Drosophila melanogaster: one gene and its partners. The protein of the gene in region 1 purifies or fractionates together with the protein of each later gene. This does not show direct contact. Each region holds a gene or a part of one and is shown on either strand. Other genes may lie near its edges.

What was found.
Region 2: the proteins of CycC (region 1) and IntS9 purify together in Drosophila melanogaster (affinity purification with western blotting, with the first as the bait; one study listed by BioGRID). This does not show direct contact.
Region 3: the proteins of CycC (region 1) and IntS1 purify together in Drosophila melanogaster (affinity purification with western blotting, with the first as the bait; one study listed by BioGRID). This does not show direct contact.

What each region holds. Positions count from the first base shown.
Region 1 is NT_033777.3:14,888,426-14,891,988, forward strand, and holds CycC (cyclin C), read right to left. Parts: upstream 1,781-3,563; 5' UTR 1,633-1,780; coding exon 1,045-1,632; intron 985-1,044; coding exon 769-984; 3' UTR 579-768; downstream 1-578. Other genes in the region: CG33332 (uncharacterized protein), read left to right, coding at 1-309, 370-534; UQCR-C1 (Ubiquinol-cytochrome c reductase core protein 1), read left to right, coding at 1,933-2,001, 2,271-2,477, 2,537-2,865, 2,928-3,298, 3,360-3,451, 3,526-3,563. UniProt on the Drosophila melanogaster protein: Component of the Mediator complex, a coactivator involved in regulated gene transcription of nearly all RNA polymerase II-dependent genes.
Region 2 is NT_037436.4:16,102,800-16,107,408, forward strand, and holds IntS9 (integrator 9), read right to left. Parts: upstream 2,829-4,609; 5' UTR 2,765-2,828; coding exon 2,756-2,764; intron 2,695-2,755; coding exon 1,537-2,694; intron 1,480-1,536; coding exon 682-1,479; 3' UTR 635-681; downstream 1-634. Other genes in the region: IleRS-m (Isoleucyl-tRNA synthetase, mitochondrial), read left to right, coding at 1-634; CG43295 (uncharacterized protein), read left to right, coding at 3,053-3,103, 3,177-3,629; Zn72D (Zinc-finger protein at 72D), read right to left, coding at 4,155-4,609. UniProt on the Drosophila melanogaster protein: Component of the integrator complex, a multiprotein complex that terminates RNA polymerase II (Pol II) transcription in the promoter-proximal region of genes.
Region 3 is NT_033778.4:24,036,289-24,044,046, forward strand, and holds the start of IntS1 (integrator 1), read left to right. Parts: upstream 1-1,654; 5' UTR 1,655-1,773; coding exon 1,774-3,091; intron 3,092-3,152; coding exon 3,153-4,132; intron 4,133-4,186; coding exon 4,187-7,758. Other genes in the region: MAN1, read left to right, coding at 1-362; Not11 (CCR4-NOT transcription complex subunit 11), read right to left, coding at 495-852, 913-1,052, 1,107-1,352. UniProt on the Drosophila melanogaster protein: Component of the integrator complex, a multiprotein complex that terminates RNA polymerase II (Pol II) transcription in the promoter-proximal region of genes.

The DNA of each region.
Region 1 (3,563 bases):
GTGGGACTGAAGAGCGGCCTTGCCGCCCTGAGCAATATGAAGCGCACTTTCTATCAGGGAAAAGAGCGACCCGACTTTAGCGATCGATCATCCTGGACGAAGACCCCGCAGAGTGAAGCGGATGCTGCTGCATCGGGCCCAAAGTCGCTCAGTTCGAAGGAACTCGAGCAAATGGCACAGGTCAAGTACGAACAGCAGCGGGATGACGAGCAGGAGAGCATGGCCAAGAGGCACAAAAAGAAGCACAAGCGAGAGGAGTCCCTAGTGGAGCTACATCAAAAAAAGCTTAGGAAAGAGCAGAGAGAAAAGGTACGAGGAAAAATATTTCTTAAAAACATAATATGGATATAATATTGTTATAAATTTAAGGAAAAAGAACTGGCTGCATCGGGTTCCAAGCCAGAACGAAGACCTTTTAGTAGGGATGTGGACTTGAAACTTAACAAGATCGACAAGAATCAGACCAAGCAGATTGTAGACAAGGCCAAGATATTGAACACCAAGTTCTCCAGGGGTCAAGCTAAGTATCTGTAGGTTAAATGAACCATAAAAAATCCAGACGATCCGTACCGCATGTTAATCTTAAGCAATTATGTAATTTAATTTAGAAATAATTATTATAAAGGCAAAATAATTTGTAAATGACATTTTTGATTGCTTAGTCACCTAGCTTAAACTTTCGTTTAATTGGCATAAATACATTGGTAATATGAGTACAAACACACAATTGGGCAATACCAGCTAATGATGAATGATTATGAAGCTCTTCTAACGCTGAGGCGGTGGTTTCGGTTTCGGAATCTTGGACAGCAGCATCTGAATCTCGTCCTTTTCCTTCCAGTCCTTCCACAACTCGTACAGATTTACAATGGCGCGCACGATCTCCTGGACCTTGTCTAAATCAACATTCAATTCTGCGAACCACTGCTTCGTGGCGTCCTTTTGCAGGATGACGCAGGCGATTTGAAGGCAGGCTATAGCGATCTAGAAAAAAATAGGTTCTTCAAATGTGAGGAAGCTGTAGAAATTATCAGGATCACAAACCTGGTAAGGAGGATAGAGCAGGCAGACATCGGTGCGCAGGGAATCGTTTACGATACGCCAGCTCAGGGTGAGCAACTGGTCCTCCTGGCCCATGTCCTGAACCAGCTGCAGCAGCGGTCTGTACGGCTGGTAGACAATCAAGCAGCAATCCAGGTTCTCCAGCAGGTAAAACTCGCACTCCAGGATGTGATTGGTGCGGTAGGGAAACTCCTGAGCGTACGCATAGCTGAACTTTGTCTTAATGGCCGACTGGCAGATCGAGATCAGTCGTGAATTGGAAATGACACCGAACTCCTCCACCTTCGAGGCCAGCAAGATGCAAGTGGGCGCCAGCAGCAGAGGATCGATGTTCTTCAGGGAGTTCCTCGCATAGAATCTCTTGAAGTAAACCGTCGCCGTGGCGATGACCTGTTGCCTCAGCTTTAGCTGCTCGCCGAGCACCTGGATCACATTTGCGAAGAAAATAAACACCTTTTGGTATTCATCCTCGTTAAGGGCCAACAAATCGTGCTGACGCTCCCGGAGCAGATCGGGTTTGTCCAAAATCCACTGCTGCGAGTGCGAACTCTGCCAAAAATTGCCCGCCATTTCGTAACTAGTAGGCCTAGCTGATTAGGTCGGCCAATATTTTCGTGTTAGCTATCCAAATTAGGTGTTTATTTCAATAGCAAGCCGGAAAACCAGGAAAAACGAAAAAATTGTGTTGCCGTTTCAGCCAGTGTGTGCACACCAGGGCTATTTTCCACGAACAGCTGACTGGCCGCAGCCAACTTTGCGCAGCGCAGTACATTGGTGTGTGTGTGTGAATTTTTCATCAGCGCCGCGGCCACAGACGAAAAAGTCTTAAATATTTTTTAGTAATAGGCTATTGAACGAATTAATAAAACGATGGCGTTGCGAGTTCTTGGCGTGACGCAGAATATGCGCTCCTTCATGCGGGGCGTTGACATGATCAAAGTAAGTCCAGACAGCCATCCAATGATTACGCTTCCGAGGATTTAAATTACGTAATTGTAAATGATTGTGTTTTTGGTTGCAATTGTGGTTTATTCTTGTGAGAAAAGGGATAAACAACCTCTTGTTGGTCAGTTATTCAAGAGCCATCCAGTTTTTCAAACAAATATTTGGGAAAACTGTTTGGAAAACCCACTACAAGCACTTTGAGGTTATGTTCGTGTTTTACTTAACTCTGGGCTATAGTTTTCCCAATTTTCCCGAACTTACAGCGATACAAGTCGGCTGCCACCCTACAGAAGACTCTGCTGAACATACCCGCCACCCAGGTGACCAAGCTGGACAACGGTCTCCGCGTGGCTAGCGAGGATTCCGGTGCCTCTACCGCCACCGTGGGACTGTGGATCGATGCTGGGTCGCGCTCCGAGAACGAGAAGAACAACGGAGTGGCCCACTTCCTGGAGCACATGGCCTTCAAGGTTGGCTCACTAGCTTGATGCTTTAAATGCGTATAATATGCGTTTCTGCCACTTTTTAGGGTACCGCCAAGCGCTCGCAAACGGATTTGGAGCTGGAGGTTGAGAACCTGGGCGCCCACTTGAACGCCTACACTTCCAGGGAGCAGACCGTCTTCTACGCCAAGTGTTTGTCCAAGGATGTGCCCAAAGCCGTCGAGATCCTGGCCGACATCATCCAGAACTCCAAGCTGGGTGAGGCTGAGATCGCCCGCGAGCGTTCGGTGATTCTGCGCGAGATGCAGGAGGTGGAGAGCAACCTGCAGGAGGTGGTCTTCGATCACCTTCACGCCACCGCCTATCAGGGCACTCCTCTGGGCCAGACCATCCTGGGACCCACCAAGAACATTCAGTACGTATATTCAGCTCTTATAACAAATGCTCTGTCTCTAATTAAAATCTTCATTTATTTAGGTCCATTGGCAAGGCCGATCTGACCGACTACATCCAGACCCACTACAAGGCTTCGCGCATCGTTCTGGCCGCTGCTGGCGGCGTCAAGCACGATGATCTGGTCAAGCTTGCCTGCAGCAGCTTGGGTGGCCTGGAGGCCAGTGTGCTGCCCGCGGAGGTGACTCCCTGCCGCTTCACCGGCTCCGAGGTGCGTGTGCGCGACGATTCCCTGCCCCTGGCCCATGTCGCCATCGCCGTCGAAGGCTGCGGCTGGACCGACCAGGACAACATCCCCCTGATGGTGGCCAACACCTTGGTGGGTGCTTGGGATCGTTCCCAAGGCGGTGGCGCCAACAACGCCTCCAACCTGGCCCGTGCCAGCGCTGAGGACAGTAAGTGTACATCAGTAAGACGACCAGGATATGGAGATTATTAACTATTATTGCCCTACAGACCTTTGCCACAGCTTCCAATCGTTCAACACATGCTACAAGGACACCGGACTCTGGGGCATTTACTTCGTGTGCGACCCTCTGCAGTGCGAGGTAAGAAGAATTAATGATTCAACAGAAAACTCTCGAGAGAAAGCAAATTTTACGTAAACAAACCTCTTCCCCAGGATATGCTCTTCAACGTGCAGACCGAGTGGATGCGTCT
Region 2 (4,609 bases), on another chromosome or scaffold:
CCAAGCTTATGAGTACAATCGTGTTGTCGCCTGTGTCCAAAACTTCATTGCAAATCAGGTGTCCGCCGTCTATGTGCATCTCATCAAGGATCGTCTTTATTGTGGTGATGATCACGAGCTACTGGCCATTCGTCAAACTCTTACCCACTGCTATCAACAACTCTGCAAGAGCTTATGGCCCATTGTTCCCTTCCTGGTGGAGGAAAGCTGGAGCTACTATGACACCACAGGTGGTGCATTCCACGAGCAAATTGTTCAGACTAATCCTGAATGGCAGGACACCAAAGCCACTGAAGTGATTAATGCAGCGTTCGATGTTAAACGACTTATTAACCAACAGGCTGGAGATGTTAACACCTGGCACTTGGCCGTGACCATCAAAGGAAAGGAAAGAAGCCAGCTGGATTTGCTGCGAGAACTTCACAGCCCTCTTGGAGAGTCTGTGAGCAATTCTGAATTATGCGAGATATTGCAAGTGGGGTCAGTTACGCTCTTACAGTCCCATAATAGCGACTTGGATATTGCTTTAAGTAAACTTCAGATATCACTGTGCCCACGTTGTCGTCGCTATGGTCTGGAGGATGAGCAGAAAACGTGTCAACGTTGCTCTGACGTTATGGAGGCAAAGAACTAAGCGTAATGATGTGTTGTTATTTAGGTGTAAGGAATACATTTATGTTTTTAAAAACTCTGTAAGCATTTCATGATGGTGTCTCGCAGCTTGAGCCGGGTTGTTGGCTTTCCGCCGCAGATAATATGCGTCTCGTTGTCCTCGAACTTAATGACTGTGTCCTCATTGACAAGGTTCAGAGTCAGAGCGCCGCCAGTGCGGTCTAGCTTGATGTTGGAGAAGCCATCCTGTGCCAGCTTCTTCATCACTGCATCTACATCAATGCTGCCATACTCGTATTTGACGTTCTTCAGCACATCCTCCTTTGTCGGAGCGCTGTTGCTCGAGATGGTCTCGTCTTTAACGCTATCCGCACATGGCTGGATGCAGTGGACCTTGTCCTTAACTTGCAAAACTCCTGTCAATGTGGAGAAGGTCACGCCGGCCGCCACCTCCTTTGGCGATATCTTTTGGGCCAGTTCCGAGGTAATGTAAATTCGATCCAGCTTCCGTTTTAATGGCAGACGTATGATCTCGCCGCACTTGAACGTTATTATCTTCTTATCCGGCTGTTCAATGAACAAATTTGGGGCCGAGGGATGTGGTTTTGTGTATGCCTCTGGGATGACAAGCACATTTGGTTTCAACTCCTTGATCAGCTTATTTGCCTGCTGATAATTCAAAGAGGTGTCGATGGGACAGTAAAAAGCCTTCATGGCCAGTGGTTGGAAGGGCGCCAGTACTTGCAGATACGGAAAGTCCGGCTCCGTGAATATGATGGAGTTGTTAGGGTTATTGCCCCACATCTCGATAAAGTGAACAGCGTCGCCGAAACGCAAGCTAGGATGGCCACAAAAGACCACGCAGGGCTGTAAGGAAGACAGAGAATTTGTAGTATGAAGTTTTCACAATTATGTTAGACAAACCTGCCGGAAGTCCTTGCTAAAGCCCTCGGAGAACACATGGTTATAGTGCTTCAGCTTGTTGTTGCGAAGGTAAAAGGCATGTGGGAAAGGATCGTCTGGAAGATACACTTTGTTCTGCTTGGCGGAACTAAGCCACTCGGCCAGGATATTAGAATACGCCAAGGAGCTGTCTGCCACAGGGGAAATAAAGAACATGGGAACATTGTTTAGGCCAGCGTTTTCCAAATTCTGGGTGAGGCACTCAAAGAGGTCATAGACAACGCCCGAAGGATAACAGGGAATCAAGGCAGACCCATTGTTGCGGATCGTCAAGGCCACATTCATGCAGAGCTCGCCCAGCTTCGTGTCCGGATTTACCGTCGGCGCCTGCGTCAGTCCGGTCATAATGAGTACATCGGCGTGCTTCAGCGCCGACTGATTGATGGGCCGCGGATGTGTGGTCAACGTGGAGGAACCACTGACATAGCAAATCTTTTCATGCGCCGTGCTCAGTACCCAGTTGCTCGAGCCCAGGCAGTAGCCCGAGCTGACAGGAGTGGCGATAAAAGCTCCGAGGATGTCCAGCTTCTCGTCGTAGCCCATGATGGTCACCTTGGACAGACTGCCTTGGACATCCTTAAGACTAAAGATAGTGCGCCACTTCTTGGCGCGAAAGGCTTCGCTCAAGGGACTGGGCAGCAGATGAAGCTTCTCCTTCCACAAGCGCGCGGTGCACGCCTTGGGCGACACTTCGATATAGTCCACCAGCTCCTCCAGGAAAAATCGGCCGATCTGCAGCGTTGGCTCCGTGGCATAGACTTTGCCCTTGAACCCCGTGTTTTCCGTGATATACGGCAAGGCCAGCATATTAAGATAATTCGAGATAAGTATCACATCCACTTCGCTGAAATCCAGCATTTTGTCCATGGGTAGATTAAACTCGGGCGTCGAGTCCACGAAAACCCGGCCACAGCAGTCCTTCAACTCGCCATCCATTTGGGGATCATGATCCCGACTGGGCACGAAGTTGGGCAGATTGGACCACTTCAGTGACTGAACGAAGGGCAGCGGAAGGAAATTCAGGACTGTCTGCTCCGTGAGACCGCAGTCCAGCATAATCCGCAGGCCCTTGAAGGTAATGATATAACATGGCTTGGCCAGGTCCCCGCTGAGACAATACTGCAAAGTGGATAGTCACTTCCGCTAATTAAGTTGTTATTTACTTCTCAGGATGACTTACCAATCGCATTTTATTAAACCGACAGTGCCGATTAGACGATGCAAGTTTGTTTATATTTGGACCAGGGATGGGGAACGATTTGGTTCACTTATGAACCGGAATCAGCACCCGGCTAAATCATTAACCATAGGTACCAAAATTAGTTAATTACAAATTTTGGTAAATGTTTTACTACTTGTTAAACTGTAGTCATCACGCTTTAACATTTGTGCAACCACATTTTTTTCACTCCACTTGTTGCAGTGCTGTTGGTTTCCATCCCTGGTCTCTTTATTTGGTTTTTCGCAAATTTGAATAATGTCCCAGCAAATTCGCGTGGTACAATGCATTCAATGCAAAATGTACCAGGTGAGTGCAAACAAACTGAAATATATCTTAGAACTCAATAACTACTTATATATATATACCTAATTTAAACAAGGTGGACTTCGTGAAAAAGGCAAGCACATGGCAGTGTAAAATTTGCCGCCAAAAGCAAAGTTTGCTCAAGGAATTCTTTCGAGGATCGGCAGCGGAATGCCGGGTTAAGGTGCAGCATCTCAACTTAGAGCGCGGAATGCAGGAGGAATGTCTGAACACGGGCTTATTCCTCACGGCAAAGCAACAGCTCGAAGAGGAGAAAGACTGCCAAGAAAAAGAGGAAAACACCACACCTCAGAAGAAAACAAATAAATGGGCAAACTATGTGGATAATACCATTGAAACTACTCAAAAGCCTGCAGCAAAACCTACGAAAACCGATGAACTTTCCGACGAAATCTCTATGAACTTTAAGAAAACCAGGAACACAGGGCCACGATCCTCTAAACGTTCCGCTGAAAATATGCCAACAGTTACTAAGAAAATTTGCTCTAAGTGGAACGACTTCTTGTAATTCCTTAAAAATTATATATCATATATATAAATATATATTTGAATTAATTTCAATTAGAACTTATTTATAAAGCGAAGAATATTATCAGTGCTAGATTATCTCCAATTAAGATTTCCAGTTACGTGAATGAATTAAGCTTATCTTTATTAAAAAAATAATTTAATTATAATTGTTCAATACGTTTTATTAAAATCCGCTTCGTTCTAGTATTTGTGTATATGAGTGTGAGGGCCATAATGTTCACATTCAAACTGAATACATTGCCTTGCCTTGCACTAATGCTAGAAAAATACAAGTTTTATGATCCACTAAATATTGTTAGTTAAAGTTGGGGTAATTTGGGATTCACTAATCGCCGATTGGGCAACATGTTGGACATGCTTAGCTCCTTGTGCCCCAATCGGTTTGAATACTCGTGTATAGATTAGAGTTGGTTATAGTTAAGTGACGCCTGGTCGCGCTTTTATCTTGAGAGAAATTGTAATATTAGTAGCCGACTACGTGTATATAACCTATTCTCGCCGCTTAGGTGCTGGCAGGAGTGCCTCCGACACCCTCCTTCTTGGCCACCTTCTCATCGGAGCCGGTCTCATCGATGTCATTGGACTCGGTCTCCGTGCCGGGTGCACCACCTGCCTTGCCCGATGACCTACGTCGCTTGCGGTTGACACGCCATGGACGCATTGGAAACTTCATCGCCGGCAATGGCTCCATGCCAAGCACTTTGTAAATCTGTCGAAAGGCAATGTAGCGCAGGAAGAGCTGTGCGGACACAGTGAGATCCTCGCGCTCCTGTTTGGTCAACTCGAGTAGAGCGTCTGTGGGGTCCTTCTCGCAAGGATCCAGCAGGCCCGGTCCGTTGATTAGAAAGCCTGACGATAAGGCCTCCATGATGCGACGCATGCAGTCACCGGGCGAAATGGGAAAGCCAGCCGACGAGATGACCTTCTCTACGAGGAGCTCCAAAGACCATTGGGGCA
Region 3 (7,758 bases), on another chromosome or scaffold:
ACTCGAACAAGATTGCCAACCCGCCGACTCCCTGCCTGAAGATTAGGCACATGTTCGACTCCTCAGAGGTGGATCAGGCCAATCTGAAGCAGTCCATCGTGGAGTCGATCATCGAGAAGGTCGGCACGCGCTGCAAGATCTGCGATGTCCAGCTGGACGTGCAGTCCTGCTGCGTGTACATCCGCTGCGCCAGCGAGGAGGACGCCGGCACGATTCACAAAGAGATCAACGGCTGGTGGTTCGACAAGCGCCTGATTTCGATTAAATTCTTAAGACTGGAACGCTACCTGAGCCGTTTCCCCAAGCCCTCGGCCGAGCCACTTTACTTTCACACCAACGAGGCAGCCAACACTCACTCATAAAACACACAACTCTACATTAGATACTTAAGTTATTAAATGCGAATTTGTTTTACATGTACAGCTGGAGTTGTCGTATTTAATCGATTTATTATGAACTAGACTTTAAAACTTAAAATCTGCTAAACACTACCACTACTTAGCTAGGGAGTTGGACGACAGAGCGCTTTCCCCAGTTTCCAAGTGTTTGATAAGCCGGTACAGGGTAGCAGCCTCCTTGATTTTGCTGAAACCCACGCAGAAGGCTTCGATTTCAATGAATAGTTCCTGGAAAATAACAATAGAATAGTCACTAAGCACAGTCGAGGAAATGGTAGTAGCGCATACCCTAACGTTCACAATCTTGTTCCTAATCAAGGACTGCAGAAATACGCAAACGAGTCGCACCAGGCGAGACTGCATGTACTTGTCCTTGACTGTTTCGCAAGTCGAGATGCAATTGCTGATGTATAGGTGAATAAACTCAGTGGGCAAAGGTCCGGAGGTGGTTAGTCTGGAATGAGAGCTCGAGCATGTTAAAGAAGCCTTCAATACTCGATGTTTGGATTCCTACCGGTTGACCACCTCCATGGAGTGAAGTGTTATGTCCATGTTGACCAACACGTTGAAGTATTCAGTTATGTCGGAGGTCGTCATCAGTCTTAGCAAGATCTCAATGGAGATGAGAGGATTGCTTTCCACGAGCAGAGGTAGCTGAGATGGAAGCAATGGATAAGACATATATCTAGCAATGTTTTCGGTTCTTACCTTGTCCGGGGTCAGTCCATATTGGCGCGCAATGTCCGTGTTCTGCTTCAGCAGGTCGTCGAAGAGGATGTGCTGGTTCTGGAGGCTGAGTGGCTGGAGAAAAGCCTGCTCGATGAGGTGCTTTATGTTGGGGGTAATGTAGTTGGACTTGTCGTAGATGATCTCCACCTTGTCGCTGTTCGACTGGTTTATCCAGAGCAGCTCGTCCTCGAAGTCCATTAGGGGCGGGGCGATGGACAGAAACATGCTGGTGCGCTGATTTTAATTTACAATTATTATTATTTTCCTTGCAATTTTGTAAACAATTTTAGTGTGACCGCGTTGAGGGGTTCTTAAGAACAATCTGCACATGAGAGTGGGCCATCTGAAAAATGATGTATGCAAATGTGCGCCTAAGGGTGTTAGGTTACACACTTGTCAAAAAATAAAAATTAAAATATGAAAACAGTTCAATATTTATATTAAAGCCTGTTTCAAAGCTTCCATCGTTCCGAATCAGAGCAGTTGCACAGACTTCTGCATGCGTTAGCCATTGAGCCCTAGCGCCTGCACTCTGGTCACACTGCAACTGTTGCACGGCTGCAAATCGCAAAGCAAAATAAAATGCACCGCGCTTGAATTATCCATTTTATGGACAGAAAAAACCTTCACACACGAACAGAGAAAAATGGATCGCGGGAAAGGAAGCGGCTCCAACCGATCGCAGAAGAAGGTTCCGCTGGGCGGAGAACTCTTTGCGCTCGGCAAGAGCGTACGCGATGACTCCAAGTCGAAGATCCTGCCCATTAAGGGCATGTCGTCGTCGGACCGCAAGCGTGAAGCCTCCACCGCACTGGCCAGCTCGAGCAAGCGGTTCCGCGGCAACCTGAAGGACGCGGGCGCCCCGGACATGTCCTCCGGTAGTAGTCAGTGCGAGACGTGGGAGCAATTCGCCGTTGACTGCGATCTGGATACCGTGGTCGAGACCATATACGCGGCTTTGGAGCAGAACGACAGCGAAACTGTGGGCCGGCTTGTATGCGGCGTTATAAAGCAGACAACGACGAGCTCCTCGCGCTCCAAGGTGGACAACATTGCCCTTCTGGCCCTGATCTACGTGGCCAAGGTACAGCCGAGTATATTCTGCACAGACATAGTGGCCTGCGCGCTGCTTTCCTTCCTGCGGCGGGAGGCCAACGTGAAAATGAGGTACAACACCAACCTGCACATTCTGTTCGCCAATCTGCTGACCCGGGGCTTCATGGAGATTTCCCAGTGGCCGGAGGTGCTGCTCCGCATTTACATAGACGATGCGGTTAACGAGCGCTACTGGGCGGACAATGAACTGTGTGCCCCGCTCGTGAAGAACATATGCGCAGCCTTTAAAACCCGCACGCCCCACATCAGTCTCCTCCGCTGGGATGTGAGCTCGTCCCTGCCTTCTGGTCAAGCACACAGAGACAGCATGACTGTGGACGACGATTCCGGGGACAATTCCACACAGAGCTTGGATGCAAGTCCCTTAAATACCGAATCGGAACCAATTCCCGACGCTATGTGCACCACTAAATCAAGATTCAGCGATGCTGTGGTGCAGAAGCATGTCAGCGATGCCATTCGCGATCAGCTCAACAAGCGACAGCAGCAGGATAACTACACCAGAAACTTCCTAAAGTTCCTGTGCACCACTTCTGGCATTGCAGAGGTACGATGTCTGAGCATTTCCCGCCTGGAGCTGTGGATCCACAACGGAAAACTGGTCAAGTTCGCCCAGCAATTGCTCTCGTACATCTGCTTCAACATCAAGGGACGCAACACACAGGACAACGAAGTGCTCTTGGTGCTGGTGAAGATGCGGCTCAAGACGAAGCCCCTAATAAACCACTACATGTCCTGCTTGAAGGAGATGATTTTTCTGCAGCCGGAAATCTTGAGTACCGTAATGAAACTGGTCGTGCAAAATGAGCTATCCAACACCAGGAATCCAAACAATATGGGGATGCTGGGTAAGAGAAACAAATTTTTTCTTAAATTAAAATCATAATTCTTAATTTGAAACTTTTCCAGCCACAATGTTTCAAACATCTGCTGATCAATCAGCTGCCACTCTGGCTGAGATTTACCAGGAATTCTTGCTTCAGCGGGACGATTGCCTGCGCACCCTGCGCGTTTTCTTACGGGAGCTTGTGCGGATGCTGCGCTTCGATGTGAACCTGGTCAAGTTTTGCAAGACGTTTCTCAGTGAGCGGGAGGATCTGACTCCTCAAATCGAAATGTTCGAGTTTAAGGAGCGAATTTTCAACTCCATGGTGGACATTGTGTGTCTCTGCATGTTTCTGTCGGCCACGCCACAAGCTAGGGAAGCCAGTTTGTCCCTGAAAACCAATCGGGACACCAAAAACAACCATGCTCTGCTCAAGCTGTACAATCAGATGTCACAGATTCAGTTGGACACAGTGTCCTGGATGTACGAAACAGTACCCACGCTCTTCAAGATTCCGGCTGCGGAGTACCACCAGGCGCTGCACAAGCTGCTACTGCTGGACAGTCCGGAGCAGTATTCGCGCTGCGATCAGTGGCCGTCAGAGCCGGAGCGAGGAGCAATCCTGCGGATTATCTCTGAGACGCCGATTCACGAGGAGACCCTGCTGCGAATTATATTGATTGGCATCACCAAGGATATTCCTTTCTCTATCGCAAACACCTTTGATGTCCTGCTGCTGGTCATAAAGCGAGTTTCCGGGATGAAGGCTACCAATATTCCGGCGGTGCAGGCCAACAAATTCGACATCATCGACTTCCTGTTCAGCATGTCAGAGTACCATCATCCGGAGAACATTCGCTTGCCTGCGGAGTACGAGCCACCAAAGCTGGCCATCATCGCCTTCTACTGGAAGGCGTGGCTCATATTGCTTATGATATCCGCACACAACCCCTCCTCGTTTGGAGCCTTCTGCTGGGACCACTATCCCACAATGAAGATGATGATGGAGATTTGTATAACGAATCAATTCAACAATTCATCAGCCACCAAGGATGAGTTGCAGGTGCGTGCTTAATTATATAAACAAACTGGCGGTGCTACAATAAAGATTTTTCAGATAATAACCATGGAACGGGATCACATTCTGCAGTTCGAGACGTACTTGGCTGCCCAAACATCGCCGCATGCTGTTATCACTGAGGAAACTGCGATTCTAATCACTCAGCTCATGCTGATGGACCCGATGGGCACTCCGCGCAAAGTGCCCTCCATGGTCCTAGATCAGCTAAAGTTCCTTAATCAGACCTACAAGCTTGGCCACTTATTCTGCCGCTGCCGCAAGCCGGACTTGCTGCTGGACATAATTCAAAGGCAGGGCACCACGCAATCCATGCCCTGGCTTTCCGACTTGGTTCAGAACAGCGAGGGCGATTTCAGCCATCTCCCAGTGCAATGCCTGTGCGAGTTTCTGCTGTTCAACGCGCACATCATCAACGAGGAGAATAGCCGCGATGCCGAGTTAGTCAATTTCCTGAGAAACCTGATATTTGACGGCAATCTTAGCCACCAAATCGTTTGCGAGCTTTTGGACTACATATTTAGACGCTTGTCGTCCACGGTGAAGCAATCGCGAGTCGCCGCTCTTTCGGGTCTGAAGATAATCTTCAGGCACTCTGGCGACTTTGAAAACGAATGGCTCCTGAAGTCGCTCCAGCAAATTCCGCACTTCTACGAGGTGAAACCCTTCATAATTCCCCAGCTGCGAGCTGCCTGCCAGGTGGAGAATTGCCCGGAACTGATTATGGCGTACATTCAGTTCATCACTGCGCACACGCTCAACGATCCGGTCAACGAAATGCTGGATCATGTCATCGATATGGCGCAGCTGATTGTAGAGCGCAGCACAATGTTTCAGCACATTATCATTTCGCAGGAGGACTACGACTATGTGCCCGACGAGAACCGCATTCAGACTCTGAAGTGTCTTTTCGTCATGTTCAACAACTATATAATTAAGCTAAGGGAATACCACGAACCGTACGAGTGGACCGAGTATCCGGACCTGCTGATGGTTCAGTTTGACGATGGAGTACAGCTACCGCTCCACATAAACATCATTCACGCCTTCATTATCCTGCTCACCTATTCCAACAGCAACATGCCCGAATCGATACCCATTTTGGACTATTGGTTTCCGCCCGGACGACCAGCGCCCGTCGCCTTTCTGCCCAGCATGCCGCAGGAGCAGGTGCAACTGCTGCCCGACTGGCTGAAGCTGAAGATGATCCGCTCATCGGTGGACAGACTAATTGAGGCAGCTCTCAACGATCTAACGCCGGATCAGATCGTGCTCTTTGTGCAAAACTTTGGCACGCCGGTCAACTCGATGTCCAAGCTGCTGGCAATGCTGGACACCGCTGTACTGGAGCAGTTTGATCTGGTGAAGAATGCCATTCTGAACAAGGCCTATCTGGCCCAGCTAATCGAGATTCAGCAGGCGCGGGGTGCTAAGAATGGGCACTACACCGTACAGGCCTTGGATCTGCATTCCCACTCGCAGACTGTGCCAGATCTGCCCAAGATCAGTGTGGTTATTCAGGAGGCCGTTGAAATTGATGATTACGATTCTTCAGACTCGGATGATAGACCCACTAACTTCCTGGCCACCAAGGAGGTAGCCCAAACCATTCTCACGCAGCCCGACCAGTTGACTGAGTCGCGAAGTGACTGCCGATCCTTGATTCAAAAACTGTTGGACATGCTAGCAAGCCCGAACAGCAATAGAGCGGATGTGGTTAACGCCATAACAGAGGTGCTAGCCGTGGGTTGCAGTGTCACGATGAGCCGTCACGCCTGCACATTTTTAAGGACTTTCTTCAGCTGCATGCTGCACAGCGACAAGTATCACATACTGGAGAACGCTCTCCAAAAGAACTTAAGTATGTTTAAGCACACATTCGCCGACTCCAGTCTGCTGCAGAAATCCGAACTCTATCATGAGAGCTTGGTGTTCATGCTGAGAAACTCTCGCGAGATTTATGCGCAGCAGTTTAAGGCGAATACCGCCTTGGTGGCACGAAAACGGATCGTCCGGGCGATCGTCCAAAGCTTCGATCAGACCAAGGACAGCAAGACCGTCGCCAAGTCCAAGAGCGACCAGCTCTTCCACAACGGGCTCTTCATCGACTGGCTGTCCGAAATGGATCCCGAGATAGTTTCCACTCAGCTAATGAAGGAGCGCTTTCTGTTCTCAAAGTCCTGCAGCGAGTTTAGGTTCTATCTGTTGTCCCTGATCAACCACCAAACCAACTGGGACACGATCGAAAGGATTGCCGAGTACCTGTTCAAGAATTTCCATGAAGACTACGACTACGCCACCGTCCTCAACTACTTCGAGGCACTGACCACCAATCCGAAGCTGTGGAAGGGACGCGACAAGTACATGTCGAAGAACGTACGGCCGGATGCCTTCTTCATGCTGAGGACTTCTGAACTGGAGCCGTTCTCCCACTTCATCCTTCACGAAGGGCTTTCCGAGGTCAAGCTGGACAGCAAAAACTATGATTTCAAGCTCTGCTCGCGAATGAACCTACTGTTTAAGCTCACAGAGAAGCGACGAGACCTCATGGTCAAGGTAATGGAGCACGTGGAGAAAAGTTCGGTGTCCGACTACTTGAAACTGCAGGTCCTCCAGCAGATGTACATCATGTATCCGCGCATCAAGTTTCTGAAACCGGGCAAAACCGGCGAGCAGGCGTACAAATTGCAGAATCTGAAGGGCTGCCAGGCGGACAAGGTGTCCAACAATCTGATCACCTGCTTGGGCAGTCTGGTGGGCAAAAAGGACTTTGAAACCCTGTCCACGGACACCGAGCTGCTCCTTCGCAAGCTGGCTGCCTCCCACCCGCTTCTCTTCCTTCGCCAGCTGGGCGTGCTGTCGTCCATTATGCAAGGTCGGGCCCAGCTCAGCATGAAGGCCCTGCGCGAGGAGCACCACTTCCACCGATTTGTACAGATCCTGAGGACGCTGGAGCTGCTGCAACCAACCATCTTTGAGGAGGCGTACAAGAACGAGATCCAAAACACGCTGTCGTGCTACTTCAACTTCTTCAAGCACCACAGCAACGTAAAAGAGGCCTGCCAAATGCTGAACAAGTTTGTGCAGATGCTCCAAGCCTACATCAACTACAATCCCTCAAGTGCTCTGCTCTTCATCGAACAGTACGTGGGCATCCTGAAGGAACTTGCAGCCAAGTACACCTCACTAGGCAAACTGCAGGTTTTGGTCCAGGCCGTTGCCCTGCTGCAGCACAAGTCGCACTCGGCGACGGAATTGGACGACGAGGAAGTTAAGTACGAGTACGATCTGGATGAGCATTTCGATGTAAAGCCATCGGCCAGCAAGCCCGTGGTAACAGAGGATCCCATCGAAGTGAATCCGCAAACACCCATCGATCCAAGCAGCAGTAGGGGTCCCTTATCGGTTCTAACCTTGGGCTCGTACAGCCGGTCGAACTACACGGACATATCGCCGCACTTCCTCGATCTGGTCAAGATCATAAAGCAGTCCAACACGGAGGACGTGGTCTTGGGTCCCATGCAGGAGCTGGAGTGCCTCACTTCCAAGAGATTTGTGTTCATCAACGAGCTGTTCGAACGACTGCTCAACCTTATATTCTCGCCGAGTGC